Linked DNA regions of Xenopus tropicalis. The protein of the gene in region 1 interacts with the protein of each later gene in a pairwise test. Links are inferred from orthologs where the notes say so. Each region holds a gene or a part of one and is shown on either strand. Other genes may lie near its edges. The genes, in order: cdkn2d and nr4a2.

The links.
Region 2: the proteins of cdkn2d (region 1) and nr4a2 interact in binary tests that used the Homo sapiens proteins (3 or more experiments, as listed by UniProt). The two-hybrid records come from large-scale screens. The link is inferred for Xenopus tropicalis from reciprocal best matches to the Homo sapiens genes CDKN2D and NR4A2.

The regions. Positions count from the first base shown.
Region 1 is NC_030679.2:138,204,902-138,221,676, reverse strand, and holds the start of cdkn2d (cyclin-dependent kinase 4 inhibitor D), read left to right. Parts: upstream 1-9,060; 5' UTR 9,061-9,288; intron 9,289-16,097; 5' UTR 16,098-16,106; coding exon 16,107-16,247; intron 16,248-16,775. UniProt on the Homo sapiens protein: Interacts strongly with CDK4 and CDK6 and inhibits them.
Region 2 is NC_030685.2:74,475,146-74,492,276, reverse strand, and holds the start of nr4a2 (nuclear receptor subfamily 4 group A member 2), read right to left. Parts: upstream 8,091-17,131; 5' UTR 8,049-8,090; intron 6,871-8,048; 5' UTR 6,745-6,870; intron 6,444-6,744; 5' UTR 6,442-6,443; coding exon 5,599-6,441; intron 4,936-5,598; coding exon 4,806-4,935; intron 3,597-4,805; coding exon 3,433-3,596; intron 219-3,432; coding exon 16-218; intron 1-15. UniProt on the Homo sapiens protein: Transcriptional regulator which is important for the differentiation and maintenance of meso-diencephalic dopaminergic (mdDA) neurons during development.

The DNA.
Region 1 (16,775 bases):
TTAGGGCGACCAATTGTATCTGGTATAGCATCTTTGAATGAGAAACTTTCGGAATATATAGATCTTTACTTACAGCCTTTGGTTAAACGGTTAACTTCGTATGTCATGGATACAAAACATGTTTTACAGTTGCTTAATCATTTAGAGTGGTCTGACAATTTTTCTTGGGGCACGATTGATGTAGCATCATTGTATTCCTGTATCCCACACGAGAAAGGAATGCTAGCGATCTCTTATCACTTGGATATGTACAGCACTTATGATGAGGGCACCAAGCACTTTATTTTAGATTCTATTAGTTATCTATTGTCTCACAATTTTTTTCTTTTTGATCAAGTTTTTTACCTCCAGAGGTGTGGTACGTCGATGGGTGCTAAGTTTGCACCAGCCTATGCCAATTTGTACATGGGCTGGTGGGAGGAGACCCACATCTATGGAGGTGATTCACTTTACTTACACAATATAGTCTTTTATAAGCGATATGTGGATGACCTCCTTTTGGTTTGGCAGGGGTCACATTTAGAATTTTTACTTTTTGTCACTGAGCTGAACACGAACACGCTTAATTTACGATTCACCAGTGAATTTAATACCCATACTATCTCTTTTTTAGATTTGAAACTGGTTGCTAGGGGCACTGTGGTGGAAACCACAACCTTTCGTAAAGCTTGTGCTGGTAATTCTTTGCTAAGGGCAGATTCTTGCCATCCAGCACATATGTTTAGGGGCATCCCTGTGGGACAGTTTCAGCGTTTACGGAGAAATTGCAGCACAGAGAGTGCCTTTTTGGAGCAGGCCGTCATACTGCGAGATCGATTTCTTGATCGTGGGTATAGCATGAGGTCACTGGTCCTCAGCCTTTATTAAGGCCTTACGGATGGAGAGATCAGACTTACTCACTGATAGGAAAGGTCAACATCATGGCAGAGTTGGAAGGGGTTATGTTTCTCCTACTTTTGTAACTTCGTTTTCTAATCAGTTCTATAAGATTAAACGTATAGTTTCTAATTTAATTCCTGTTCTCTATAATGATCCTGACCTGGCATTGGTATTACAAGGTGGTTACAATATTGTTGCAAAAAAAGCTCCCACATTGGGTAATATACTTTCACCAACTCTGTGGCGGTCCCGGCCTTTGAGAGCGACATGGCTTACAGTAAAGGGTACATATCGCTGTGGAGCACGCAGATGTGTTACCTGTTCACATATCAGGCAATCCACTACCTTTAGTAGTTCAGTGTCTGGGACAGTATTTAACATGCATTTTTATGCCAACTGTAATACGCGATATGTTGTGTATCTTTTAACCTGTTCAAGATGTAGCATTCAATATGTTGGCTGTACAACACGCTCCCTTAAGAGCAGGATGAGGGAACACATTAGACATATAGCTGCTAGAAGTAGCAACAGTCCCGTGGCTAGACACTTTTTACAATGTTGCCAATCTGATGTATCGTTTTTGCACATTCAAGTCATAGATAAAATTCTTCCTGATGCAAGGCGCAGTGACTTATATGCTAGGCTCTTACGTTCTGAAGTCAAATGGATATTTACTCTTGATACACGACATCCTAATGGCCTCAATTCTATTTTTGACATTAGCTGCTATGTTTGAATTTATGAGTCTATTTATTTGTACATAAAAGAATTTCTAACATTTAATGTTGCCATTCATGTATTAAATTAATATTATTTACTTTTTACTATATTTATTGATATTGATGTATTGAACAGTTTACTTGGATTAATTGGATGTATTCTACATATGTATTTTACAAAAAAAAGTCTTCTTTAAATGATTGGCCTTGTAAATATAGCCTACTGTTTTGATTTATACAGGTTCCAGATTCCACTATGTGTGCTTTTTTACTGATGGGGGTGTATGTATTGATGTCTTAATTTGCATGTTTAATTGCTTATGACACTATTTAAACCCTCCTACTGTTGTATGTGTATGCCTATGAGTAAGTGCGTTCGCGCACGAAACATGTCAGGCGTCTAGTTTTTAGATGGAACAATAAAGACCTGGTTTTAGCAGCATGTCGTGTCCGGAGATGTTTGGAGCTCAACTGTATATGATATAACTTCTCCCTTCAGCTACGGGTTCGGGGCCCTGAGCACCCGGACCAACTGTGGACTCTGGTGAGCTTTTTCTGATTCTGCATTAATTACAAATTTCCATTGGGGCCCCCTAGAGTTTTTTCACAACTGCGCTAGGTCTGGGGTGTTCACACCCAGACCTTTATATTTATTTGGTACGGGTTTTGATTTGTTTGGGGCTTCAATTTGTCATTCGTTTACATTTACTTTGTTATAAATACTATTTAGAGTAGAGGCTTTATTATTTGTTTAAATACATTTTTCCCCTTGCTTGTCAGCGTGCCTTCATGCCATCCGTGCAAAACTGGAGGCGTCACTACTCGGGAGTAATGAGCCGTCGGTGGCTTCAGAACTCACTAGACTCAAGCTACCTTCCGACGACATTAACCCTCTTCACATTTTCATTCTGCTGCTTATTCTATATTGGTGTTAAAGGGCAACTAAACCCTATTTTCAAAATACAAGTCACTGTTTCAACTCATGGTTGTCCCCATCTTGCCTACTCTACCCCAGCATAGCAATGATCACCCCTGTAATCACCAGTGGGATAGCTAAAGGTCCCCATACACGGGCCGATTCTGGCTGCCGGTATCAGTCGCTTAGACCAATTCGGCAGCTAATTGGCCCAGGTATGAGCACTACCGACGGGCCTGCCCAACCGACATGTGGCCTGGATTCAGCCAGATATCGATCGGACAGATTAAAAAATGTAGTCAGATCGGGGACCGCAACGGCTCATTGATTTGGTCCCCGAACTGACTGCACCTATTACCGTTGTTCTAATTCGATCGTTTTGCCCCGGGGCCAAACCACCGAATTAGCCTAAAGGCGGGACAGATTATGATGGGGCTGGGCAGTGACATTACCATTCTGTCCCTTTTTCTTAATTTTGAAAACTGTGCAGAAAGTTTTGAACTGAAAAGCTCCTTCGAAAAACCAGGCTATCGGGTTCAAAACCAGGCAAACCTAGCGGTCAGTAATTTGCAGCCGAATCCTTAGAGACATCACCCGAAATACTCCGAAGCAGCCGAGCAGGGAACGTGATAGGGTGTGGGGAGGAGCTAGGGGTCTCGGGCGGAGCCAAGAGGCAACCAGATCCAGGGCCACCATCAGAAATTATGGGGCTCCTCACAACAACATTTTCTGAGCCCCTCCCATCAGTGTGCCCCCAATACATTGGTGCCCAGAGCTCCCCCTTACATTGCTGGTCAGTGTGCCCCCCAAAGATAGGGCTCCCAATTGCCCCCATACACAGGGCCCCCTAACTCTATGCCCCCATTAGACAGGCCCTTTTATAAGGTTGCGCCCCGTGCGTACTGAGGTCACACGTATGCACGGGGCACGACCAATCGGATTGCATATGGATGACAGGGCCCGTAATAGTTTAAAGGGGGCCCAAGCTAGTCAAAAAGCTGTAGCACGGCTGGGCCCCCTTTAAAGGTAAAGATCGCCTGGGCCCAGGACCATTGTCCCCCCTGTACCCCCCCTGATGGCGGCCCTGTCCAGATCAGTTAGAACCAAACAAATATTAAAACCATAAACCACAAGGTTAAAACTTGGAACTTTCACTCCAAAGTAATGTAAACACAAAAATGAAAAAAAAAAAATTTTTATTCTTCAGCATCATAGCAATTAATTAAAGACGTCCCTATCCCATAAAAACACAATAAAGCCGCAGTTAGAGAGGGGCCCCTCCTATAGAATGTAAATCTGTACCACTGTGAAACAACCAATTATACCATACAGAACAGAAAGGCATGTTCCAGTCTCTCATTCAACCCACTACCTGGTTGCTAAGGTAAACAAGACCCTAGCAACCAGAAAACAAAATGGAAACCAATTGCAAATTGTCTCAGAATATAAATGTCTTAGTCATAGGAAGGGTAAGTGGTTAACAGGGAGATTAGTCACCCCAGAACAAATCTTCGTTGTCGCGGGCGACTAATCTCCCAGCAATGCCATCCCTCCGGCTAGAATGTAAATCCCTGGTGGGATGGCATACAGGTTGCTGTGATATCCCGTAGTCGCCAAAGTTGTCTTAAGAGGAAGCTTCGGGCGACTAATCTCCCCGTGTACCACTGCCCTAAAGAGATGGAGCTACTAGTAGCAGCTACTTGTCACAGCTACAAAAACAGACAATACTCATCATTTACTGATAATGGTTTCTATGTGTGTTTTAGCAGAGGCAATTCTCAGTATTCTTTATGGCAGGGTATTTTCTGGCGTTTAGTAGCCGTGACAAGTAGCTGCTACTAAGTAGCTCTGTGTGGCTTCATCCTACATGTTAAATTTAACATGCACAATAGAATTCCTATAAACTTTACGGTAAGGCCATGTATAGAGTAGAACATTTCTAGTCCAACGGCAGAGATCTTGTATAATGGGGGGGGGGTTGTAACAAACCAACAACAGATGTGAGACTGAGATGTCTGAGGTCGGGGCTCACCTGCTGTGACTCCATGAGAATTTAAAAAATTGGGTGTGACTGGAGAGAATGAGATGGCATCTAGTCGTCTGTCATGTTCCGTGTGCGCTGACTCTTTGACCCCGTGCCGCGAATCCAAACAACAACTGGCGTGACTCATGCTGAAAATACAGATAATGGCAGATAAATCCGATGAAGAGGGACAACAGGGCAGCCCTGATAGTACGAAGCCAAGGGGCACAGGGCAACTGTATTGGCAGAGTCACTGTCGCTTTAGATAAGTTGCCAAGCCATGGGGTTAAACAGATGTCAAACATATAGATTGTAAGCTCTACGGGGCAGGGACCTCCTTCCTCTTGTGTCTTTAACTCTTATTGCAACTGTACCTTGTATTTATCTGTATTTATTGTTATACTTTGTATTTATCTATTATTATCTTAACCCCCTGTTTGTATTAATGGATTCTACTGTACAGCGCTGCGTACATAAGTAGCACTTTATAAATAAAGACATACATGCATACATACATACATATATACATACATACATACAGCAACTCCCAGCAACCCTGCTATAAATGCTTTAAGCTGCCCATACACAAATGCAATGATCTAACACTCACATTCAGACTGAAATTGCAGGATAAAGCCCAGGGTCGAACTGGGCCGCCAGGAAAACACCCGGTGGGTCCCTACCCTTGCCGCCCCCCCCCCGGCCGAGCGTTCCTGCCCTGATGCGTTAAACTTATACGCGCTCAGGAGAGGACGTCGGGTGGGGGTGCCTGGGGGGGTAAGGGAGACTCTGTGGGGGCCCCTGAGGATGGGGGTTAGGGAGACTCTGTGGGGGCCCCTGAGGATGGGGGTTAGGGAGGCTCTGTGGGGGCCCCTGTGGATGGGAGTTAGGGAGGCTCTGTGGGGGCCCCTACGGATGGGAGTTAGGGAGGCTCTGTGGGGGCCCCTGAGGATGGGGGTTAGGGAGGCTCTGTGGGGGCCCCTGCGGATGGGGGTTAGGGAGGCTCTGTGGGGGCCCCTGCGGATGGGGGTTAGGGAGGCTCTGTGGGGGCCCCTGCGGATGGGGGTTAGGGAGGCTCTGTGGGGGCCCCTGCGGATGGGGGTTAGGGAGGCTCTGTGGGGGCCCCTACGGATGGGAGTTAGGGAGGCTCTGTGGGGGCCCCTGAGGATGGGGGTTAGGGAGGCTCTGTGGGGGCCCCTGCGGATGGGGGTTAGGGAGGCTCTGTGGGGGCCCCTGCGGATGGGGGTTAGGGAGGCTCTGTGGGGGCCCCTGCGGATGGGGGTTAGGGAGGCTCTGTGGGGGCCCCTGCGGATGGGGGTTAGGGAGGCTCTGTGGGGGCCCCTGAGGATGGGGGTTAGGGAGGCTCTGTGGGGGCCCCTGCGGATGGGGGTTAGGGAGGCTCTGTGGGGGCCCCTGAGGATGGGGGTTAGGGAGGCTCTGTGGGGGCCCCTGAGGATGGGAGTTAGGGAGGCTCTGTGGGGGCCCCTACGGATGGGAGTTAGGGAGGCTCTGTGGGGGCCCCTGAGGATGGGGGTTAGGGAGGCTCTGTGGGGGCCCCTACGGATGGGAGTTAGGGAGGCTCTGTGGGGGCCCCTACGGATAGGAGTTAGGGAGGCTCTGTGGGGGCCCCTGAGGATGGGGGTTAGGGAGGCTCTGTGGGGGCCCCTGTGGATGGGGGTTAGGGAGGCTCTGTGGGGGCCCCTGAGGATGGGGGTTAGGGAGGCTCTGTGGGGGCCCCTGTGGATGGGAGTTAGGGAGGCTCTGTGGGGGAAGTGGCCGGCAGGGACACCCCCAGTCTGACCCTGATAAAGAATAACAAATGGGAGGATGTTCGGAACATGAATTAGTTGGCAGACACCGACCGTACGAAAGTGACTCCCATTAATGGCCCCCAAGGATATAATCAGATACGGATGGGGGTTAGGGAGGCTCTGTGGGGGCCCCTGCGGATGGGGGTTAGGGAGGCTCTGTGGGGGCCCCTGCGGATGGGGGTTAGGGAGGCTCTGTGGGGGCCCCTGATGATGGGGGTTAGGGAGGCTCTGTGGGGGCCCCTGCGGATGGGGGTTAGGGAGGCTCTGTGGGGGCCCCTGAGGATGGGAGTTAGGGAGGCTCTGTGGGGGCCCCTACGGATGGGAGTTAGGGAGGCTCTGTGGGGGCCCCTACGGATGGGAGTTAGGGAGGCTCTGTGGGGGCCCCTGAGGATGGGAGTTAGGGAGGCTCTGTGGGGGCCCCTACGGATGGGAGTTAGGGAGGCTCTGTGGGGGCCCCTACGGATAGGAGTTAGGGAGGCTCTGTGGGGGCCCCTGAGGATGGGGGTTAGGGAGGCTCTGTGGGGGCCCCTGTGGATGGGGGTTAGGGAGGCTCTGTGGGGGCCCCTGTGGATGGGAGTTAGGGAGGCTCTGTGGGGGCCCCTGTGGATGGGGGTTAGGGAGGCTCTGTGGGGGCCCCTGTGGATGGGGGTTAGGGAGGCTCTGTGGGGGCCCCTGAGGATGGGAGTTAGGGAGGCTCTGTGGGGGCCCCTGTGGATGGGAGTTAGGGAGGCTCTGTGGGGGAAGTGGCCGGCAGGGACACCCCCAGTCTGACCCTGATAAAGAATAACAAATGGGAGGATGTTCGGAACATGAATTAGTTGGCAGACACCGACCGTACGAAAATGACTCCCATTAATGGCCCCCAAGGATATAATCAGATACACACGGAGATTTTATCCTTATCAGATGGGAATTCTATAACCTGCGGTATCAGCTAAACGAGCGATCGGCCATTCAGAGCCCACACACCGGCCCAAGTTTCATGCAACTTTATCAGTAGGTGTATGGGCAGCTTTAGATTGAGGGCAATGGGGCCAAACGTACTGTTTAACAGCAGCTCCCAGTATCCCTGATGCCCTTGCGCTATACATGGGAGAGGAGACTAGGTTACTAACATAAAGCATCTCTGCCTCCATCTTGCCCTGTTGGCTGTGTCTGCGCTGAGGGAGCTGCCATGTAGTATTCCCTGTATACACACACACCACACACACACACACACACACACACACACACACACACTCACACTCACACTCACACACACACTCACACACACACTCACACACACACTCACACACACACTCACACACACACTCACACACACACTCACACACACACTCACACACACTGACACTCACACACACTGACACTCACACACACTGACACTCACACACACTGACACTCACACACACTGACACTCACACACACTGACACTCACACACACTGACACTCACACACACTGACACTCACACACACTGACACTCACACACACTGACACTCACACACACTGACACTCACACACACTGACACTCACACACACTGACACTCACACACACTGACACTCACACACACTGACACTCACACACACTGACACTCACACACACTGACACTCACACACACTGACACTCACACACACTGACACTCACACACACTGACACTCACACACACTGACACTCACACACACTGACACTCACACACACTGACACTCACACTGACACTCACACACACTGACACTCACACACACTGACACTCACAACACACTGACACTCACACACACTGACACTCACACACCACTGACACTCACACACACTGACACTCACACACACTGACACTCACACACACTGACACTCACACACACTGACACACTCACACACACTGACACACTCACACACACTGACACTCACACACACTGACACACTCACACTGACACACTCACACACACTGACACACTCACACACACTGACACTCACACACACTGACACACTCACACTGACACACTCACACACACTGACACACTCACACACACTGACACTCACACACACTGACACACTCACACTGACACACTCACACTGACACACTCACACACACTGACACACTCACACACACTGACACTCACACACACTGACACTCACACACACTGACACTCACACACACTGACACTCACACACACTGACACTCACACACACTGACACTCACACACACTGACACACTCACACTGACACACTCACACTGACACACTCACACTGACACACTCACACACTGACACACTCACACACTGACACACTCACACACTGACACACTCACACTCACACACTGACACACTCACACTGACACACTCACACTGACACACTCACACTGACACACTCACACTGACACACTCACACTGACACTCACCCCATGGGACGGTACAGGCTGCCTATAGGAAGCAGAGGCTGCATTTAAACACAAACAGCACGTCCCGCCGGAGGTGAAGCTAAGGTTACCGTACTGCTGACTCCAGCCTGACCCCCTCACCTCACACACAGAACCGCTAGTAGCCCCGCCCCTCCTTTTTAAAATTTCTCTCAAGACCCACCCATTCCTCTCTTTTTTTTTCTATTGGTTGCATACTCTGCGTCAGTCTGCGGGTTACCGCCTAGCAACGGCGAGCCCCTCTGGCAGCTGTCATTTCTATTGGCTGGAATGGCCAAGGAGGCGGGGCCTCGGCGTCCGGCAAAACCAATGGGCACAAAGAGACGACGGCACAACAGTTGCCTTTTTTAAAAAAAATAACACGCGTACCACGTGGGGCGGTGACGTCAGAGGCCGAAAACAAGCGACAGGCTGCGATCCGCCGCGACTCGGACTGCGCCCGTTGAAGGTTCTGACTGCGCGTCTCTCACCTGCCGGGCAGCGGGTCACGTGTTCAGCACCTGTGTCAGCGCGGGAAGGCGGGTATATAAGGTGGGTAAGGTGGGGGCTCTGTGTGTGGCAGGGGGAGCCGGCTGGGGAGCAGCAACATCATCTGTCACCGGCTGCAACAGTAACGGAAGCCGCTCTGTGTGTGTCTGGGGAACGTTCCCCTGACTGGCACCGAACTGGCGCGGCCCTCCTTCTCCGTGTTGTGACTGCCATTGACTTCTATCACTTTGTATTCTCCCTCCCCCCGACCCCTCCCTGTATCCCCCCGACCCTCCCTGTATCCCCCCGACCCCTCCCTGTATCCCCCTGTCCCCTCCCTGTATCCCCCTGTCCCCGACCCCTCCCTGTATCCCCCTGTCCCCTCCCTGTATCCCCCTGTCCCCGACCCCTCCCTGTATCCCCCTGTCCCCTCCCTGTATCCCCCCGACCCCTCCCTGTATCCCCCGACCCCTCCCTGTATCCCCCCGACCCCTCCCTGTATCCCCCTGTCCCCGACCCCTCCTGTATCCCCCCGTCCCCTCCCTGTATCCCCCCGTCCCCTCCCTGTATCCCCCCGTCCCCTCCCTGTATCCCCCCGTCCCCTCCCTGTATCCCCCTGTCCCCTCCCTGTATCCCCCTGTCACCAACCCCTCCCTGTATCCCCCTGTCCCCTCCCTGTATCCCCTGTCACCAACCCCTCCCTGTATCCCCTGTCACCAACCCCTCCCTGTATCCCCCTGTCCCCTCCCTGTATCCCCCTGTCCCCTCCCTGTATCCCCCTGTCACCAACCCCTCCCTGTATCCCCCCGTCCCCTCCCTGTATCCCCCCGTCCCCTCCCTGTATCCCCCCGTCCCCTCCCTGTATCCCCCTGTCCCCTCCCTGTATCCCCCTGTCACCAACCCCTCCCTGTATCCCCCTGTCCCCTCCCTGTATCCCCCTGTCCCCTCCCTGTATCCCCCTGTCCCCTCCCTGGATCCCCCTGTCACCAACCCCTCCCTGTATCCCCCCGACCCCTCCCTGTATCCCCTGTCCCCTCCCTGTATCCCCCTGTCCCCGACCCCTCCCTGTAATCCCCCCGACCCCTCCCTGTATCCCCTGTCCCCTCCCTGTATCCCCCTGTCACCAACCCCTCCCTGTATCCCCTGTCCCCTCCCTGTATCCCCCTGTCACCAACCCCTCCCTGTAATCCCCTGTCCCCTCCCTGTATCCCCCGACCCCTCCCTGTATCCCCCCGACCCCTCCCTGTATCCCCCGTCCCCCCTGTCCCCTGTCCCCTCCCTGTATCCCCCCTGTCCCCTCCCTGTATCCCCCCTGTCCCCTCCCTGTATCCCCCTGTCACCCAACCCCCTCCCTGTATCCCCCTGTCCCCTCCCTGTATCCCCCTGTCCCCTCCCTGTATCCCCCTGTCACCAACCCCTCCCTGTATCCCCCTGTCCCCTCCCTGTATCCCCCTGTCACCAACCCCTCCCTGTATCCCCCTGTCCCCTCCCTGTATCCCCCTGTCCCCGACCCCTCCCTGTATCCCCCTGTCCCCGACCCCTCCCTGTATCCCCCTGTCCCCTCCCTGTATCCCCCTGTCCCCTCCCTGTATCCCCCTGTCACCGACCCCTCCCTGTATCCCCCTGTCACCGACCCCTCCCTGTATCCCCCTGTCACCGACCCCTCCCTGTATCCCCTGTCCCCTCCCTGTATCCCCCTGTCCCCGACCCCTCCCTGTATCCCCCTGTCCCTCCTTGTATCCCCCTGTCACCGACCCCTCCCTGTATCCCCCTGTCACCGACCCCTCCCTGTATCCCCCTGTCACTGACCCCTCCCTGTATCCCCTGTCACTCACATCTTATTCTGTGTCACTGTGCCCCCCCGTCTGTGACATCTTATTCTGTGTCCCTTTCACTAAATCCCCATCACAGAAATCCTACTGTATCCTATCACTGATATCTCATTGTATTTCTTCTCTCTGACATCCCCCTGTACCTGCCCCGTTACTGACATCCCCCGCCTCTACCTGCCCCGTTACTGACATCCCCCTGTACCTGCCCCGTTACTGACATCCCCCTGTACCTGCCCCGTTACTGACATCCCCCGCCTCTACCTGCCCCGTTACTGACATCCCCCTCTACCTGCCCCGTTACTGACATCCCCCTCTACCTGCCCCGTTACTGACATCCCCCTCTACCTGCCCCGTTACTGACATCCCCCTCTACCTGCCCCGTTACTGACATCCCCCTCTACCTGCCCCGTTACTGACATCCCCCTCTACCTGCCCCGTTACTGACATCCCCCTCTACCTGCCCCGTTACTGACACCCCCCTGTATTCTCCTGCCACCCACACCCCACTGCCTCTCCCTGTCACTTACATGTCCCACTGTATGTACCTGTCACAGGATATTGAGAGTAGCCAGTGGTATGAAAAAAGCTGTGTGGCATCTCAGTTACCAAAACTTGGCCCTAGTTCCGCTTTAGTGATTATTCCTGGCGACACTCTCTGTAACCCTGCTGATTTGGCACAGTGTCCCGGGGGAACCTTCACTCTCTGCTTTCCCTCTGTGATTATATTATTCCCATCTCACAGCCCGTCACTGTTTCCTTCCTGCGTGCCTGTATCCTATCCAGGCCTTGGTCTGTGGGTTCAAGCAAATGCCAGAGGGGCTGCTGTAAGGTGCCATAGACACTCACTATTTATTGGGCCTATGGGGGGCTGTTTGGGCCTCTGTGTACTGAAAATCAGGCCCGGACTGGCAATCTGTGGGTTCAGGCAAATGCCAGAGGGGCTGCTGTAAGGTGCCATAGACAGTCACTATTTATTGGGCCTATGGGGGGGCTGTTTGGGCCTCTGGGTACTGAAAATCAGGCCCGGACTGGCAATCTGTGGGTTCTGGCAAATGCCTGAGGGGCTGCTGTAAGGTGCCATAGACACTCACTATTTATTGGGCCTATGGGGGGGCTGTTTGGGCCTCTGTGTACTGAAAATCAGGCCCGGACTGGAAATCTGTGGGTTCAGGCAAATGCCAGAGGGGCTGCTGTAAGATGCCATAGACACTCACTATTTATTGGGCTGCTGGGGGGGCTGTTTGGGCCTCTGTGTACTGAAAATCAGGCCCGGACTGGCAATCTGTGGGTTCAGGCAAATGCCAGAGGGGCTGCTGTAAGGTGCCATAGACACACACTATTTATTGGGCCTATGGGGGGGCTGTTTGGGCCTCTGTGTACTGAAAATCAGGCCCGGACTGGCAATCTGTGGGTTCAGGCAAATGCCAGAGGGGCTGCTGTAAGACTACTGGAACCTAAATGGCTCCCAGACTCCTACCTTTAACCCTTTCAGCCGTCCGTTCCTCTTCTTGAATTCTCTTGCTCTGACTTAAGAAAGAACCCACCTTTCCACACATTAATGTTGTATCATGGCTCCTCATTAGCCAAAGGATCTCACTACCTCTCTCCACTTGTACCTCCTTATGCTGCCATGCTGATATTCTATGCTTCTTCCTCCTGTTTCTCATACCACCTAATCATTTTAACTGTATCTGTATATATATATATATATATATATATATATATATACAGTCCAAAAGAGTTTCAGCACACCAAACATATAAATGCAAATTACCTAGGTGCTACCTCCGTGTATCCAATTATCCACAAATCCAGAAGTATAAGGTGCACACCAGGGTTTTAAATATAAAACATGACTTTTATTGTATCATACTGATAAAACAGATCAACGTTTCGGTCTCCACCTAAGACCTTTATCAAGATATATATATATATTTGCTCTGTTTGTTGCCCCTTCTGTGCTCTCAATGTATCGTAGGCCTATACATGTAGAGCTATAGCGGTACTTGCAAGGTTAGTTAGTAAGGTCCCATCGGAGCAGAGCTTTTTACTTTGGGCTGACATTAGAGCTCTAAGCCTGAAAGTAGGCCAGGGTGGAGCATTTGATGCTATCTTAGATTGATTCTGAGCATCTTGGCTTGGCACTCAGTGCACTGCCTGATGTAAGATAATAGAGTGTCCCTTGGTGTTGCTATTCTGTATGTCAAGTAGGTATTATGACTATATTGAGCACATTTCTTCTGTTACTTTTTGCAACTGAATGTTGGTAGATTCATTGTGTTTCATTGTTTCAGGTAACTGTCACTTAATTATCTTTTTGTGGTAACAGAGCCTCCTCGTTTCCTTAGATCTGTGCCTAACCATACACGTTTAGGGGCACAAACGACAGGCATGCCGACCGACATCTGGCCTGAAATCGGGCAGATATATCGATTGGGTTAAAAAATTCAGTCGGATCAGGGACCGCATTGGCTCGTTGATGTGGTCCCCGAACCGATTGCACCTATTACCGGCATTCTAATTCGAATTAGCCTGAATTCACCCGATATCACCCACCCGTAGATGGGGATATCGCGAGAAGATCAGCTCCCTTGGCGACCTCACCAAGCGAGTGGATCTTAACGTGTATGGGCACCTTAAAACCCAGTGAAAACATTCTCTGTCTGGTCTCATGAGCTGGTTATGTATTTATGTACTTTATTGCTTATTATTCAGCCACAGAGACGCACTTATAGGCCAACTTCAGGGCCTGTTTGATCCCACAGGTAAATAGGCTGATGACTGGCCAGGTTGGATACAGAGACTAGTGGCCAAATTGGCCAGTACTGGTAACTAGTGACTCATCCAAACAATAAGCTCACATACTATCTTCAGCCTCTGTTTGTTATTGGTTTGGTGCTACTTAACAGGTGACAGCTGTGCTAAAGAGACTTGAATCTTTTCAAGGTGTGTGTGTTTGTGCATTACTTGGCGCTGACCCATGTTGGGCTCTCTACACCCCGTCTGCTTGTTTGTCACTGCTTCAAGTGCAGCAGTTGTTTCCTTGTTTTTCTTTACAATATCGTGTCAAGATATAGGGGGTGTCAGTGGGAGCTGTGACAATTAGGGCTCAAAAAATACCCTTAGGGTGAAGACACACAGCTCCTAGTAGCAGCTACTTTTTCACAGCTACTAAATGCCAGAAAATCCCCTGCCATAGACAATACAGAGAATTGCCTCTGCTGAAACACACGATAATTATCAGTAAATAATCAGTATTGTCTATTTTAGTAGCTGCTACTAGTATCTCTGTGTAGGTTATTGATTATAAATATGCGTGTTGCTAGGTTATGAAGGTACAACAACAAGGTGTAGTATTTCTCTTCTATCTCCGTCGTCGTGCTGTGTGTTTACTGGCAACATGAAGTGCAGCCAAATCAAAGAGAGAGGTTAAGATTATGCTCCTATTTATCATTTGTGGTCTTCTTTCTTAAAGGGGTGGTAAACATTTATTTAGTATGTTATATAATGGCCTATTCTAAGCAACTTTTGAATTGGTCTTCATTATTTATTATTTTATAGTTTTTAAACTATTTGCCTTCATCTTCTAACGCGTTGCAGCTTTCAGATGGGGGTCACCGACCCCGGCAGCCAAAAAATCTATTGCTCTGTGAGGCTACAGTTTTATTGTTATTGTTAATAACTTTCTTTTCCGTTTAAATCCTCGCCTATTTATATACCAGTCTCTCACTTAAACCACTTAAACTCCAAACTGAAGAGCTGCTGAACAAAAAGTGTAATAACTAAAAAAAAAATGCAAATAATGAAAAAATGAAGACCAATTGCAAATTGTCTCAGAATATGACACTTTTGATTATACAAAAAGTTAACTCAAAGGTGAACAGCCCCTTTAAATAGATAGTAAAGCACAAGGAATTGGTATGTTGTGTTCATAGAACATGGCTTCTTTGCATGTGTGGATTTACTTGGGCAGATGGAAGAAAGGAAGCAGAAGCTTGTGTGTGAAGACACACTGAGCTACTTAGTAGCAGCTACTTGTCAAGGCTACTAAACGCCAGAAAATCCCCTGCCATAGACAACACTGAGAATTGCCTCTGGTAAAACACACGTAGAGACAGTTATGAATAAATGATCAGCTTTGTCTATTTTAGTAGCTGTGACAAGTAGCTGCTACTAGTAGCTCCATCTACTCTAGCAGTGGCGACTAATCTCATCAAATGTAAATTGCCGGTAGGAAAACATATGTCACTTCGACTTCCTGAAGTCACCCGAAGTTGCCACACGTTTTCCTACGAGTAATCTACATTCTCATCGGTAGGAAAGCATTTGAGGCAATCAGTCGCCTCTGCTAGAGGAGATTAATCAAATTAGCCAAAAATCACCCAACTTGTGTGGGCACATGGGGTAAAGATCTGGCTGTTTGACAAGGGGCTTGCAACGTGTATGGCCACCTAAGCTGTCTCACCTGTCTGAATAGCCATTCAGACAGGTGAGACAGCTTAGGTGGCCATACACGTTGCAAGCCCCTTGTCAAACAGCCAGATCTTTACTCCATGTGCCCACACAAGTTGGGTGATTTTTGGCCATGAGGCCATGGCTAGCTGTCTATTATCTGCCTGTAATTGCCTGTCTCTCACATGCCTGATTGTAACCTGTCAGTTATCTGTCAGTAACACACAGAATCTTAGCTTTCTTGTAAGTGTCAGGGCATTGTCAAACCCATTTCAGCAGCTTATCTGCCCATGTATGGACACCACCGATGGGCCTCCCCGACCGACATCTGGGCTAAAATCAGCCAGATCTCGATAGGGCAGGTTTGATTTTACCGTTGGATTGGGGACCACATCAGCTCGTTGATACGGTCTCTGAGCTGGCGGCACCGCCCTAGGGCCAAACGATCGAATTAGCCTGATATCAGATCAAATTAGCCCGATATCACCCACCTGTAGGTTGCTATCCTGTTAGTACTCCTTTATAGTTTGCTGATAATTTCCCATTCTTTTGATTCGTTTATTTCATTCTTCCTTTTTGATCTTGCAGCTCTCCCTCATGTTGCTACAAGAGACCAGCGCCGGAGACCGCCTGACACGAGCGGCTGCCAGGGGAGACCTATTAGAAGTGAAGAGGCTTCTCCATGAAGAGAGGATCCACCCTGACTGCCTAAACCGCTTTGGCAAAACTGCTCTGCAGGTGAGAGAGAGAAGTATGGCCACACAAGGTCATTTCCCAACATACTGGGAAATCATCTTTTATATAGGGAATTTGTCTTATGAGGGATTTAACTGATTTAGAACAGGTTAAGGGCCCCTAACATGGATTATGAAGAGCTGAAGCTCTCAATTTAACTTCATTACTGAATTTGCTCCTTGCAGGCTGAGCTCTGGTTGCATCTTTTTATATTCCTAGTGACTCACAGAATGAAGTAGGAAAAGCAATTAAGAAGTAACTTAATATAACAGCTCTGAATAGGTGCACTGAATACTTGCAGAGTACAAGCAGCCCAGTCCCAGAGGCACAAGGATCTGGCACATCTTGCTTGAAAAACAAAATATGCTGAGGATGCTGGTTCTGTCTTTATTAATAAAGGCTTAAGGTGGCCATACATGGGCGATTCTACCTGCCGGTATCGTCCTTTAGACTGATTCGGCAGCATATCAGCCCGTGTATGGGCACTAACGACGGGCATGCCCGATATGCCTGAAATCGGGCATATCTCAA
Region 2 (17,131 bases), on another chromosome or scaffold:
TAATCTGGTAATTACCTGTATGCCAGTCGCAAGACAAAAAGTTCCAGGAAAGCAGACTCAAAGAGCAGGTCTTGGTCCTGTTTGTGCAGCTCAGAGAATCCTGGGATCTTCTCTGCCCAACCTCTAATGATCTCCATGGAACCGGTCAGCAGATCATAAAACTGTTGGATGTGTTGTGTATCGTCTCCATTCATCTGATACTCTGGGTTAGCCTGAAACTAAAGATGGAGAGGGAAGATTCTTAATGAGGTTTTCCAAAATATATAACCCGTGAAATTGCTAACCTTGTTACACCAAGAGAGATTTGTTTGGGAACAATTAAAAATGCCTGTGACCAGCAGGAAAATAAGGTGCCCATTGCAATTAACTCAGCCATGGATGGAGCCATAAGGTCTGCGCTTGCTTTATAAATCTCTAATGCCACACACGCAAGTAGAATTTACAACGATTTTGCCTGTAATTAAACAGAAGGGGGTGACTGACACACACACAGGCCTGGGCAGATCTACCGGGCATGTTCGGAAAGGGTTAATGCAAACCCAGTTATTAGTGTAAATTCACTTGGGCAGAAAGTAGGAATAGGTGTGAATTTCCAAGGAAAATAACTGTTAGCGCAGGATTCCCAGTGTATGATGAAAGGGTACACAGAAAGGGTCAATGGGATTTTAAGAGTTAATCGGAATTTACAATATTGTTGCACGAATAGATGGTGGGAAGGGTGCTGCAAAATCGTGGATTCGATTTACCCAATTGCAAAAGGAACAGTGAAAGGAATATACTCAGCATATCCCCTAGCGCTGCACTGTATGTACTATGTATGTACTGTAGAGCAACGCCCTGTGCAAGAGCATTACTGATACTAGGAGTAAGAGAGGGTTCATCACATGTCATTTACATTAATTAGTCCACTGACCCGTGTAAATGCCGGAAAGTAAACAGTAAAGTCGTGATGTAGAATGCACTAGTTGTACGTTGGGCAGTGGGGAGATATAAGGCGCACAGTGCAACAGTGAGGAGACAGATGCACAGGAAATATTAGTACAACGCCATTGGGTCACTGATACTATAAAGGCTCAAAGACATGTACGAAGTACAGTGCATGCTGTGCGCTAACATTGGAATCATACACAGGGAAAAAGCTCGTCCATTAGTGCAGCACTTGATTTTGTAAGGCGCAAAGGCAGAAGGGTAGCAGATTCTGCAAACTACACAAATAATACACCGTAGCAAAGTCCACATGGAAATAAAGCATAATACATGCATACCTAATACTGCGCAAAACCTTGCGCAATGGCGATAAAGATTACATAAAAGAGAGTGGCTAACTGGCTATGTGGCTATACCTTTGCTCAGCACAGTTTGCCCCCTAAGATATAATGCCTTGGGGGATGTACAGGATGCATTGGTTTGTATCAGTTTAGCATTATGGGGGTGGCATCTGGCAGCTTCGAGGCAGGGAAGCGCCCCCACCTTACTTACTCCATCGCAAAGCAGCGCACACCCCCGCACTGTGCTTATACCTACTGCTCCCAGGCAGGGCAGTGTCCTCCCCAGTCCCAACACTACACCCAGACTTACTCCCAGGCAGGGAATCTGCTCCCCAGTCCCAACACTACACCCAGACTTACTCCCAGGCAGGGAATCTGCTCCCCAGTCCCAACACTACACCCAGACTTACTCCCAGGCAGGGCAGTGTCCTCCCCAGTCCCAACACTACACCCAGACTTACTCCCAGGCAGGGCTGTGTGCTCCCCAGTCCCAACACTACACCTAGACTTACTCCCAGGCAGGGCAGTGTGCTCCCCAGTCCCAACACTACACCCAGACTTACTCCCAGGCAGGGAATCTGCTCCCCAGTCCCAACACTACACCCAGACTTACTCCCAGGCAGGACAGTGTGCTCCCCAGTCCCAACACTACACCCAGACTTACTCCCAGGCAGGGAATCTGCTCCCCAGTCCCAACACTACACCCAGACTTACTCCCAGGCAGGGAAGTGTGCTCCCCAGTGCCAACACTACACCCAGACTTACTCCCAGGCAGGACAGTGTGCTCCCCAGTCCCAACACTACACCCAGACTTACTCCCAGGCAGGGCAGTGTGCTCCCCAGTCCCAGCATAACACCCAGACTTACTCCCAGAAAGAGCAATGTGCTCCCTAATCCCAACACTACACCCAGACTTGCTGCCAGGCAGGGAATTTGCTCCCAAGTCCCAGCATTACACCCAGACTTACTCCCAGGCAGGGCAGTGTGCTCCCTAATCCCAGCATTACACCCAGACTTACTCCCAGGCAGGGCAGTGTGCTCCCTAATCCCAGCATTACACCCAGATTTACTCCCAGGCAGGGAATTTGCTCCCTAATCCCAGCATTACACCCAGATTTACTCCCAGGCAGGGCTGTGTGCTCCCTAATCCCAGCATTACACACAGACTTACTCCCAGGCAGGGCAGTGTGCTCCCTAATCCCAGCATTACACCCAGATTTACTCCCAGGCAGGGAATTTGCTCCCTAATCCCAGCATTACACCCAGACTTACTCCCAGGCAGGGCAGTGTGCTCCCTAACCCCAGCATTACACCCAGACTTACTCCCAGGCAGGGAAGTGTGCTCCCCAGTGCCAACACTACACCCAGACTTACTCCCAGGCAGGGCAGTGTGCTCCCCAGTCCCAGCATAACACCCAGACTTACTCCCAGGCAGGGAATTTGCTCCCTAATCCCAGCATTAACCCCAGACTTACTCCCAGGCAGGGCAGTGTGCTCCCTAATCCCAGCATTACACCCTGACTTACTCCCAGGCAGGGCAGTGTGCTCCCTAATCCCAGCATTACACCCAGATTTACTCCCAGGCAGGGCAGTGTGCTCCCCAGTCCCAGCATTACACCCAGACTTACTCCCAGGCAGGGCAGTGTGCTCCCCAGTCCCAGCATTACACCCAGATTTACTCCCAGGCAGGGCAGTGGGCTCCCTAATCCCAGCATTACACCCAGACTTACTCCCAGGCAGGGCAGTGGGCTCCCTAATCCCAGCATTACACCCAGACTTACTCCCAGGCAGGGCAGTGTGCTCCCCAGTCCCAGCATTACACCCAAACTTATACCCACGCAGGGAATGTGCTCCCAAGTTCCAACAAAAGACCCAGACATGCAGAGAACATGCTCCCAAGTCCTAACATTACACATAGACCAGCTCCCAAGCAGGGAAAAGTGCAACTATTGCTAACGGAGAAGTTCAAGGCCTGCAGATACCATCCATTCCAGATAGAACATAGCGCTTCCCAGCAGTGCAACCCCCAAGACAGTGAATGCACTTCCACACTATGGACTGAGCAGCCCAAGATCCGCAGGTCCCAGGCAAAGAGCTCCACCACCATGTACCCCAATACTGACCAAGAGCCACAGAATTCCCTTTTGCCAAGGCCCCCACTTACCCTAGAATAGTCCAGACTGCTCACTGCCGGATTGGAGTCGACGTGGGCTCTCACTAGTGCACTGATCAGACTCACTGGGGGACTGGGGGGCGATGGTTCCTGGGGACTCTTGGGCTTAGATGGCAAGCGACCCCTCCGACCTTTTAAACTGTCTGTGCGGACCACTGCAATGAAGACAAGAAACAGGGTGTTCAGGATTCAGTTCCCACTCACATTCTTTCCTCTCATTGTTACTCTCCCTCATTACAAAGGCAGCCTTGACTCCAGCTTGCGTGCCATGGACCCGGGACTCTGCCAGTCGCTGGCACGGAAATCTGAGTGTGTGTGTGAGATCGGTGGGGGCTGCCAGCCTCTGCTCCGCAAAAAGGTGGAAAAGGCCACTGTGTCTAAGCAGCGCCCAAACTCAAGTATAAAGTGTATGCCTCGAAAATCCTACAGAAAACAGTTTGGACTAGTAACGATTCTTGGTGTATGTGTGTGTTAATGTCGGCACGATTTGTTAGAGTCGCAGTGGCATAAAAGTGAGTGGCATAACGTTCCACACAATCTCATATTCATGCAATCAGTATGGCATATAAACATATAACGTGTGTACAATTGCAATATATCTGCTAGCTTTTCTGTCTCTTTAAATTTATCTATCTATCTATCTATCATCTATCTATCATCTATCGATCTGTCTTTTAAATCCAGACAGACGTCTGTGCGCCTGTTAACTCTCTCTTTTTCTCTCTCCCTGCATCTATCTTTTACTTAAACATCTATCTATCTATCTATCTATCTATCTATCTACCTACCTATCTATCTATCTATCTATCTATCTATCTATCTATCTATCATCTATCTATCTATCTATCTATCTATCTATCATCTATCTATCTATCGATCTGTCTTTTAAATCCAGACAGAAGTCTGTACGTCTGTTACCTCTCTCTTTTTCTCTCTTTTACTTTTTTTTTTTTACTATCATCTATCTATCATCTATCTATCATCTATCTATCATCACTGTCTCCGGCGGCCTATGTACATATAATAACCCAATGATGCATAAACATATTATCACCTATATGTTATCTAGTTAACAGCCTCTCAGGGTATCGATATATTATCTACCAATCACAATCATTTCCATCGATTATTACTAATCCGCGAATCTCCAATGTCCAAACCGCGGCCCTCCCGCTCTTTTTAATCTACATCTCCCAAAGGCTGATGGAATTTGTAGCTCCATCCCTACCTCCATATCAATTAGAAGTCATTAGCTTATGCTATTTACAGAAACCTATGCACAAACATATTACATACAGATATAAATACTATAATACATAGGCATTACGCAGTGCATGGGAATAACGCATTAGCGCGACATTTACCTTCTTTGACCATACCGACAACCAGACACTTCTGGAACCGGCAGTACTGACATCTATTCCTACGCCTTTTGTCCACCGGACAGTTCTTATTCGCTAAACAAACATATTTGGCATTTTTCTGCACTGTGCGCTGTAAGGGAAAGGAAGAGGGAATTAGACTCGTTTGTTACATTCTTTTTACACCCAGTGTCACAGAGCTGAGAATAAAATAAAAAGTCTGGAATTTATATCTTTTTTTTCTGTCTCTCTTTTTTTTTTTTTGTGCATGGCATTTAACAGAGGCAAATTGATAGCATTAACATTTCAGCTGTCCCTGGCAGCTCTTGGCTGGCTTTTTATATGCCAAGAGGAGAAAGGAGAAAGCGCTCAGTAAATACAAATCCGTGGGCATTCATATTATTTACAGCCCTTGGAGAATTCTCTATTTCCAATGATAAGATTATTCAATCAGGATGGTGAAATAAAGAGATCACTTAATTTCACCATAGGGAATTCTGTTCCACTTGGTTAGCTCAGACACGGTTCTCTGTCCTAACCAATTTATCTGAAGGGGAAGGCTGGGTAAAGTACATGCAAATACATTGCATGGAAAAATAAAGGTCCCATCGAGCGACTAGTTTGCCCAGTTGAAGCCTAGGAAGGGGGCACTGGGTATGAATTTTAAAATTTAACAAACACTATGATTAAATCAACAACCCTACATGGAGCTCAGCAGCCAACTCAGTTGGGTTCATGGTGGACAGTCCCACCAACTCATCACCAACGTGATGGCTTCAAGCAATTGTGTACTTACCTTGAAGAACCCTTTACATCCTTCACATGTACGAACTCCATAGTGTTGGCAAGCAGCGTTGTCCCCACAAACAGCACAGAGACCCTCGTTTGATGGAGACCCTCTAGAAGGCGGTGAAGGTACCTGGCTGTCTATTAGTTGCGACGCATGACCAAGCTGTAGCCCAGGGAAGCCCATAGATGCCTGTTTTCTGATGGGATTGGGGACTGCAAATGTCTGTCCGTCTATTACATGGTGGGCTCCTGAGGTTTCGGGGTTCATAGACACATGGTGGCCATCAAACCGCATCTGGCAACTAGACACAGGCGTTCCAGGTGGAGACTGTTTAAAAGAGAACAAGGAAAGCCTGGGGACATGACCTCCTCTGGTGGCCACATAGTTTTGATTGAAACTGTGCAGAGAGCCATGGTTATCCCACATTGGGCTGTGTTGGACAGGGAAACCGGGGGTACTGGAAGTGGGGGGCGATGAAGGTTTGTAGTAGACTGAGCCTGAATGGGACATCATCTCCTCGCTTTGGGGCGGTAGGTGGCCGTGCTGTTGGTAGCCGTGCATCTGTATATCTTCCACTTTTACAGAAGACTGCTGGCCGGAGAGGGGCATTTGGTACAAGCAAGGAGGCTTGACGTCGTAACTTGTGTTGTAGTTGTCCATAAAGGTACTAAAGCTGGGGAGAGAAGTGGTGGCAGTGATTTCAGTGTTGGTGAGGTCCATGCTAAACTTGACAAACTCTGGAGTTAAGAAATCGGAGCTGTATTCTCCTGAAGAGTGGTAAGTGTAGCTCTGGGAAGCTGGGCTGGCTCCTTGAGGCGATGACCCATACTGAGCCTGAACACAGGGCATGGCTGTAAATGAAACAATTGAATAGATACCCATACTGTTCAGTTGGATACTTCCCATCACCATTGTACCCCTCTTGCCGTCTACCCCACTGAGAACACCCCCGGTCTGTAACCCAACAGGACTTCAATCGCCCTAGAAATTGTTGCTCAAAATCTCAGCGCTTCCCTATGTAATTATTCCTTACAGACGATTACCATTAACGATAACCCCATACACTACCCTTGCCCAATTTAATCGCCCCCCCCCCCCCACCCACTACCCTTTTAGCCAATATAATTGCTCTCCACAAATAAAGGGACAAACCTTCTGCCGGGCTGTGGGGTTTTTCGATGTAGGTAAAGGAGGACAGTGTTGTATTTCTTGTCGGAACAAACTTTCCAAGATTAGAATCGTTCGATTTAGAAGAACCCAGCTTGTCAGCACGTTTATCTGAAAGAGAAATCGAGTTGGTCGGTTTATAGCTGCGACAATGCCCATTGTGACATCGCCAAGCCACAAACAGACGTTTAATTCTGCCATCGCTGGGGCTTTTTAAAAATGAGTATTTCAGCTGGGTAAAAACCACAACGTGGAATCTGCAGCGGGGGTGTGAAGGGAATTCTGTACAGGACAATAGCTATTACTAACTTTTCTTCTGTGCCTTTTCATTCTGTAAATCACAGAAAGGCATTCTGTTGAATCACAAGCACTTGCTTTAAGGTGTGTGCAGAATTTTTTTTTTTTTTTTTAGCTCTGGTCAGCAGATCAATGGCAGCATATCACGACAAGCCTTAAAAGTTTGACAGGCTAAGAATAAACGTCAGGTGTGTCTTGAGAAGGCCTCATATAAATCTGATTAATCAGATTTATTGCCATGACTTAGATATGGGCTGGCTAGTAGATAAGGCAACAATTTTTTTAGTTCAGTAACCTAAAATAACTCAGCTGGGGGGGGGGTATGCACAGTATACATGAATAGGACAATGTTATTAATAACACATGCAATGCATTAGGCAAAGAAGCACACAGGTGTATTATAAAATATAAATAATAGGTTCGTATTGATATCCATTGTACAGAATGAAGGGACAGTCTGGCCACTATATATAGTATAAAGTAATATCTAATTCTAACTATATGCTTATTAAATACCCTTCATTCAGACCATATCCCCTGACCAGCTGAGCGGAAATACCATTTGGAAATACCAAATATAGAAGCTTTTCCCAATACACCTGCTCAATAGAGATTGGTACTTCCAAGCCACAGCCTATAGCACCTATCTCAGATACAATAGAATAATGCAGTAAGCTGCACAGCCAAACTTTTTTTTCCTCCTTCCAAAAAGTGTTAGAGCCCCAGGCCCTCTCCAACGCAAGCAGTCATTACATTGGGCGCAAAGGTATAATGAATGGATGTATGAATGTTGTATATAACTAAAGGTAAGTTGTATGTATGTATGTATGTGTATGTATGTATGTGAGTGTATATATATATATATGTAATAAGTAGGTATAAGTAGTAGCTGTGCCCATAGTAGATGGCATTGGATAAAGTGTGCGGCAGGTAGGGAAGCGCAGAGGGAGTAAGAGAAGCCGAGGGCAGGCTGCAGGCAGGCGGGCACTTACTTGCAGTGCTGTGGGAGCGGCGCCTCTATGCATGCAGGCGGGTACACATCCCCTGAGCGGAGCGCTGATGTCCGTAAGTGCCGGAGCGCAGTGATACGGTCCCTCCAATGTGCCTTTGTTTATGTGGGCTCAGTATTCCAGCGCTATCATACACTACAAGCCTCAAGCGTCACCCGACGTCAGCAGCCTCCCGGCCAATCAGCGCCGACCGGGCTCCGCGCTGTTGGCTTTGGTAAATTTCCGTCGTGACGTCACGCAGCCAGCAGCCTTTAAGGTGGGAGCAGCGAGTCCGCTCGTCGCTTTCTATAGCGGCTTCCTACAGCCGGTAACCGGGTAACCCCCCGTGTGGAAGATGCGGGTGTGAGAGACTGGGGGGGGGGGGTAAGGGGGAGCTGGGCAGCGGCTGCTCGGCGTGTTTATACTGTATACAGTGCGAGTGTGGGAATGTACTGTATGTACACAATCCGCCGCTCTCACTACTCAGCCGCCACATGTTGTCACTGTCACTCCCAGAGCCGCCTGTATGGTCGGGAGCGGAGGGGTTTACCCTTTACCTTTATTTCAATGGTAGTAATACTGTATTGATACAGATCCCCAACCTGCAGCCCTGGGGCAGCTGTTCAACTGCATCTCTCACATCCCACATGCAATTGCATGGGGTGAAGACACATGGAGCTACTTGTCGTGGCTACTAAAATAGTGCTGATCGTTTGCTGGTAACTGTCTCTGTGTGCAGAAGCAGTTCTCAATATTGCCTATGGCAGGGTATTCTCTGGCATTATTATTATTATTATTATTAAAGGAACAGTAACACCAAAAAATAAAAGCTTTAAAGTAATAAATATAATGCACTGTTGCCCTGCACTGGTAAAACTGGTGTGTTTGCTACAGTAACACTACTATAATTTATATAATAAGCTGCTGTGTAGCCATGGGGGCAGCCATTCAAGCTGGGAAAAAGGAGAAAAGGCACAGGTTACATAGCAGATAACAGAAGTTCTGTAGAATACAATAGTGTTTTATCTGTTATCTGCTATGTGCCTGTGCCTTTTCTCCTTTGAATGGCTGCCCCCATGGCTACACAGCAGCTTATTTATATAAATTATAGTAGACTTTCTGAAGTAAACACACAACTTTTACCAGTGCAGGGCAGCAGCACATTATATTTTAGTTACTTTTATACACTTTCATTTTTTGGTGTTACTGTTCCTTTAACATTTATTTATAAAGCGCCAACATATTCCGCAGTGCTGTACAATAAGTGGGTTCCATACATTGGACATACAGAGTAACATATAAAGCAATCAGTAACCGATACAGGAGGTGAAGAGGGCCCTGCCCAAAAGAGCTTACAATCTACAAGCATTTAGTAGCAGTAAAAATGTAGCTGCTACTAGTAGTGTCTTCACCCTAAGGGTTGGAGTTGCAGATCAAAAACAGTGAAAGGGTTGTATTCTGCCCATCCATGATTTATATAATACCCCCAGACAGTGGCCCCTTATCCGTCCTGTATTGTCAAAGCCTCCTTTATTCTAAATTAGTTCTCCAATTATGTAGGTTTGTGTGTTGTTTATGATAATAAATTATTAACCCTCTGCCTTTCCCCCCACTAAAATTACAAATCAGACAGTTTTGATATTGATAGATCTCCAACCTGCAGCCCTGGGGCAGGTGTTCAACTGCATCTCTCACATCCTACGCAGAGTTGCATGGGGTGAAGACACATGGAGCTACTAGCAGCAGCTACTTGGCTACTAAAATAGACAGTGCTGATCATTTGCTGATAATTGTCCCTACGTGTGTTTAGCAGAAGCAATTCTCAATATTGCCTATGGCAGGGTATTCTCTGGCATTTAGTAGCTGTGAAAAAGTAGCTGCTACTAGTAGCTCTGTGTGTCTTCACCCTAAGGGTTGGAGTTGCAGATCAAAAACAGTGAAAGGGTTGTATTCTGGATATCCATGATTTATATAATACCCCCAGACAGTGGCCCCTTACCCTTCCTGTACTGTCAAAGCCCCCCTTTTTCTAGCTTTAATTAGTTCACCAATTATGTAGGTCTGTGTGCTGTTTATGATAATAAATTATTATCCCCTGCCCCCCCCCCCCCCCCACTACTGTCTTGTTAGACAGTAAAATTAGAAATCAGACAGTTTTTATACAGTAAATACACATATACACCCTATACCTAATTATTACATCTTTTTCCACAGGCACTGTGTAAAATCCTTACCATACTCCAGTGTCCTAACCCCCCCCAGCGGGGCATTCCGTTGTTTCCCTGGGTGACAAATTAATCTGGCTGGCCCAGCTAAAGCATCCAGGAGCCCTCACACCTCCTTTGTTTATGTAGGCTGGAGTGGAAGTGCCAATCATGGGGAGGTGGACTGGCTGGGGGGGGGAGTCAGTTTGTGGCAGTGCATAGACCTCAGTGGAAACAACAGAAATACACATTCTACTCCTGTTTTCTGCGGTGCAGATTTCCTGAAGAAGGTGAAGGGTTTTGCAGATTGGACTTGAAGAGGTGCTGCAGCAGCTGGCTCTGTACCGGGGCTCCATGATAGACAAGGGTGACTTTAATCCAGCTATATGCAACTTTCTGTTGTTATTGGCACGGGGAGGTGTTGGCTGTTTGGCTTAGAACTTTCACTAATAAAGGGATTATTTTATTTATGAAATATGTGTGTATTTAACGCCACTAACCTTCTTCTAATGTACTGCATTTGCTTGAGTCACCCAGCAGCAAAATTACATAACGTTTCCAAACACATATGCAGCGTGTATCCTATAATTAGCCATGTGGGTGACAGAATGATCTCTAGTGTGGCTTCCAAGCTTGCACTGTTTTATCTCTCTGCTACAAAAGGCTTTATAATATCCTGGATTTTCCCCCTACCAAGAGCTAAGCCCATCCAGGACCTCTGAGCTGCAGGCAGCAGGCAGGAATCCTCCTCTGTAGGAATAGAAGTGGCAGCTCCTACCCCCTCGGTGGATCCAGCTGTCTAATTCCTGCCTGCTGCTGGGATTGGCAGATCACGGGCTTTTTTGTGTAGTGTTAATAGAGCAGACGCTGTGTTATTCAGAATAAAACAAACCAGCACCAGACCTTGCTCCCGACAGCTCTCTGGGAGGCTAGTGAAGTGATAGCCTTTAATTGTGCCATTAAAAAGGAAGTGCCCTCTTGACATGCTCTGCTGAATGGGTATAAAAAATAACCCCCAAAATGATGGTTCAGATTTAAAATAAATACCAAAAAAATATACTATTATATCACTGTATTACTACTATATTACACATTAGTGAATCCTAGTGTATATATGTATATCCATATATAGATATATCTATATATATATGTATATTTATTATTTCATATTTATTTACTTGCCCTTTATATATATATATATATATATATCTCAAATATTCTATTATATCACTGTATTACTACTATATTACACATTAGTGAATATTTTTGCATTTACATTTTGCTTACAATTCTTTAAATCCTAGGAGTGCTGTCCTTGTTCCAGTGCATTTTTTTGGTACTAGCACCCAGGTTTTGTTGCTGCAAATGGTGTGCACCCTATGGACTATTTTTTATATTATATAAATATATATCTATACATATATATACATATATAAGCTCAATGGGGCAGGGACCTCCTTCCTACTGTGTCTCATACCACAGGTATTGACTTGTATCTGTATTTATATTTATTTATTCTATTAATTATGACACTTGTCCTCCCTGTGTGTAGCTGTATATATTGTAAGATTGTACAGCGCTGCATATTCATGTAGCGCTTTGTCAATAAAGTTATACATACATACACATTTATTATTTCATATTTATTTACTTGCCCTATATATAGTGTGAGTAAATAAATATGTATAAACCATTTGAAAGACAATTTAAGTGACTATCTAAGGATAACCAATAGGCAGCTCATGGTAATCTGTAGCTCTCAAAATCCCAACCAACAGCCTTTTGATACAGAGAGTTGTAGTTGAACATCAGCTGGCATTTAAACATCCCTGTATTTTTAAGAATTTTTCCTACTGTGACACTGGCAGCCGCTGGGCCTGCCAGCAAACAGTTAATATAGCAGTATTCTGCCTTCGGAACATTGAGTAGCACGTGTACAGAGGCAGGCCAAGCATGAGGAGAGGAAGTGAGTGTTTCCAGATTGTTTTGAGGCTGTTTGCTTAGGTGTTTTCTAATGATCCCATAATGAAACCTCTGCTCATTCACCATCCCCCAAGCTGGTAACACCAGGCACACAGGTTAATATAAATTTGTGAAATAAATTGGTTGCAATTCCCATGCAATCAGATTGGTTGAGCCAAGGGGGTCACTAAGGAAGCAGTAAGGAAGGAGAAAAATAACAGAATGAAAGATTGTTACGTCTTTCCTGGGATGGGGCAACCCTTGCCACACCCAGTGGGCAGTGGCCAGCCAGTACAAATGACAGTGACGGACCTGGCCAATTATCTTGTGTGACCGGGTTGAGGTTTGGCTTTTGCCAAGATCTATAAGAGCATATTGTCCTGGATTCCCGTGTTTTGGAGAGGGAGCACCATATGTTTTCCATAGACACTGGAGACAATGGCAGACCTTTTGTCACTTGCCCCAGTGAAAGTCAGATGGCTAATCTCATATCCGTCAAGTGCCAGAAGGGCAATGGAGAAGGCAGGGGTGAATTCTTATAATAAAATTAAATTTATTGTGACATTTGATCCATATATGTTTCATGATGATATCTCACCTGTTATTTACCATTTATTGACACCCAGACCCACTCATGGATTACTGCTATTTATCTAAAGCATTGCATTGTGGGTGTTATGAAGCCATAGATACAATGGGATCCAAATTCCCACCACCCTAGCCAGAGCTGCACTGGAAGGCTGTCTTGGATGATGAGTGTTTCAGTCCACCATTTTGGGCAGCCTTATTAATAACTCACCTTATTAATACCATCATTTCTTACTATTCTAGTATGCCACAATAGAGCTGGGTGAGTCTGCCTCAATACCATGGTCATTAATATCTACAAGGCTGATTAATGACTCCAATCAGACGATGACAACATTGATCTACAGATGCGGTCCCTCTTCCGGCAACTGAGTGGCTCTTGGTGTCTATGGCTACAGCTACTTTCTATGTAGAGCTACTACTGGCCACAGCAATGGCAAGCAAGATGCATTTGCCCACTGTGTAGATGGCTGCTCTTTCCCTTGTTGAACCCATCTTTTCCGCTTCTTTCAGTTGCCCGCAGTGGTTCAGGAGGGCAGAAAGAACTTTGTTTCATAAGGGTTGAATGTGCTAAGAAAGTACATATGAAATTGCAGAGCAAGACCAGGTTAATAAATGGATGCCCAGATCCTCGTGGGACTGGCAGCCAACAGGTGAACATTTAGACTAATGCGCTGGTTATTTTCTTGCAGCCCCATTTATGCCTCAGCCACACCATACAAAGCCATATATACAACTTAAGCCAAAATCAATATCTCCCCCCGAAGATATATCCGTAGTTCTATCTGCCATGTATCGTGCCTTTGGAAAGAGGAGTGCGTTTCTCTATTTAGCTGCTAATTATGATGTATGAAACACTGTTTCCGACAGAAAGCGCCGGCATCTAAATGAGAAAAAGTTAGGGTTATTAATACCTAGGATCAAAGGGCACAGAATGGATCATCAGGGAGTACTTGGAGGCTGCAGCACTCTCTCCGTGTTTCCCTCTGGCCGGTACAGGGCTGCGGAGTTAATACATATAGTGCAGATGCTGAGGGGGGTCATTAATGCTTAGCCTCATCTGCAGTGGAGTTTCGGGGTTTATATGATATGCATTTGTTATTGTTGGGTGTAAATATGCACAGCTTACCCCCTTTATATTAAGGGCATGTTAGCACCCCCATAGCCTATGTACCCACTGCTTCCTTTCCAGAGGATAAAACCTTGGACTCTGAAAATACCCATTGTGATGCAAAGAGTGTGTGTAATTAAGCACTTCTGATGCTGGCACCGCGGCAGTGTAATTATCCCAGCAATATCTCAATGTGCAAATGGTCGCAGGCGTAGCAGATGAGTACGACTCTCCTGGGTGCTGCACGGGAGAGGGATTAGCATAGGAGTGCAGCACTGCTAAGCATGTTCCCACTATATAAATATAAATACAACCAATAATAAGGTTCGACAGAAATATCCACCCTGCACCCAGCCAGCTGCTAACGAACTGCAACTCCCATCATAATCTTTGGAAATTGGATTCAGAGAGGGATTCTGGGAACTGTAGTTTAGGCATTTTGGCATGACGCCCATTTATTGCCATGCCTAGGGTACTTGTTACGGGGAAGACACACAGAGCTACTAGTAGCAGCTACTGTTTCACAGCTACTAAACGCCAGAAAATACCCTGCCATAGACAATACTGAGAATTGCTTCTGCTAAAACACATGTACAGACAATTATCAGTAAATGATCAGCATTGTCTGTTTTAGTAGCCACAACAAGTAGCTGCTACTAGTTGCTCTGTGTGTCTTCACCCTTAGAGCTGGTATCAGCAGTCATGTTACAATAGAGACAGTAGCAGCTTTTGAGGAGGGTGCAGAAACCTTATGCTGTGGGTGCTATTTTGTTAGTAGCCCTCCCATTATCAGAATTGCTGACTTTTTACTGTACTGCTTCCAAAAATTACTATACTGTGCATATGCCCAGCCCAGTTTGCCACAGGGCACACCTGGGAGTGTGAGAAAATGTATTTGCCATAGTGTGCAATAGGGCCACCATCAGTAATAATGGGGACCCATACTACTAAATTATCAAGGCCCTCCCCCCACACACAGCTGCCATTATTACCTGATCACATGGGTCCTATCAAGAAGTAAATTGGGGCCCCTATGAATTAAAAAAAAAAAAAAGTCCCTTGCGTGCACAGACATGCAACTATGCCAAAACGCAGCCCGTTATCAGCCCCACCCCTTTCGCCACTCGTGCCTTTCCATCTCAGGGCCCCCCCTTCACTATAGGTAAACGGTTACTGGGTTTGGCCACTGCGGGTCCCTAATAAATTTGCACACTCAGGTTTAATTTTTTTTACTGTACTTGTCCTTTTCTTGAGTCACGAGATATTACAAACACGCGTACAGTATACACGTATGGAATACTACACCCTTGCTGTAAATCATACTTTTAGAAGTCGCCACAGAGCTCAGTGACAGTATTAATAGCACAAGGCAACTTTATCCAGGTCATGCTACTTCAAAGGGACTTCTGATGTCCTTACATTTTATTGCAGGGGGTGTATTATAATTCACAAGTGTTCCATGTGAGAGGAACGATTGAATTCATTCATTTTATTAGCTTTGGCAATCAAGGTGGAACATTTTAATTAAAAAGGCAGCAGAGAGTTAGGGCTGTACCCCCATATGTAATAAAAGGCACTAAGTTTGCCCAGAAGCAGTAACTCATAGCAACCAATAAGATGTTTGCTTTTAAATAGGTGACCGGTAAATGCTACCTGCTGATTGGTTGCTATAGGTTACTGCTCCTGGGCAAACTTAGTGCCTTTTATTACATAACCCTATGTATTATATAGTGATTCAGTAATGTGCAAATAAATTAAATATTCAGGGCCCATGGCTAGTACGGCAGCTTCAGAGCATACACTACATGTCCACCACTGCATAGTTGCTGCAAAATGTGACGACAGATCTAAGCGGCAGGGGGTAACCCTTTCCTACCCAATCAGCACATAGACTGTATTGCATGTGCGCCAATTGGGTGGATGAAGTGGGGTGCGACGGGTTAGGCCTTGGGCAACACCAGGTATTAATCTTCGACTCAACTTGCTGACGTGCAATGATGGGAAATAAGAAGCTTGGACTGGAATTGAGAATAGGCCCTGGCATTTCAAGTACACAGAGGCCCAAACAGCCCCCCACAGGCCCAATAAATAGTGAGTGTCTATGGCACCTTACAGCAGCCCCTCTGGCATTTGCCAGAACCCACAGATTGCAAGTCTGCTTTCGGGTCTGATAGTTTGGGCATCCCTGCATCTGCTGTTGATTGTCAGGTTGAACTACTGGGAATTAGGCTGATGCCACACGTGGCGTTTTTCTGCTGTGTTTTTTCTCAGCCTAAAAACGCCGTACAAGCCACACAGCCCGAGACTATGGCATTTTTCAGCCTAGTACTGGTGACGTAAGAAAATCCCGTTTCCATGGTGCTAATAGTGCGAAATAGCAAAAAAACGCTGCGTATTTCCGCTAGGTCTGGCAGCTGCCTTTGCGTATACATAGGAATAGCTTGCTTTGCAAATACTGGCGTATTTCGGCCTACACTTGAAAAATCTGTGCTAAGGCGTTTTCTAGCGTATTTCCGCATTGTGTGGTTTGCTTCGAGTCTTTTCAAGCTATTTCTATGGATGATGATATCGGGCGTTTTTCAGCCTCCGAGAGAATTAGAAAATACGCAGTGTAAAAACGCCACGTGTCATCAGCCTTAAAGGAACAGTAACACCAAAAAATGAAAGAGCTTTAAAGTAATAAAAATATAATGCACTGTTGCCCTGCACTGGTAAAACTGGGGTGTTTGCTACAGTAACACTACTATAATTTATATAATAAGCTGCTGTGTAGCCATGGGGGCAGCCATTCAAGCTGGAAAAAAGGAGAAAAGGCACAGGTTACATAGCAGAGAACAGATAAGTTCTGTAGAATACAATAGTGTTTTATCTGTTATCTGCTATGTGCCTGTGCCATTTCTCCTTTGAATGGCTGCCCCCATGGCTACATAGCAGCTTATTTATATAAATTATAGTAGACTTTCTGAAGTAAACACACAACTTTTACCAGTGCAGGGCAGCAGCACATTATATTTTAGTTACTTTTATACACTTTCATTTTTTGGTGTTACTGTTCCTTTAAGGTTAGTTAGCCCATTTCTGCTTAACATCATAATACTGAACACTTACCAGGCCCGGACTGGCAATCTTTGGGTTCTGAGGGGCTGCTGTAAGATGCTATGGACAGTTGCTATTTATTGGGCCAGTGGGGGGGCTGTTTGGGCCTCTGTGTGCTTGAAATG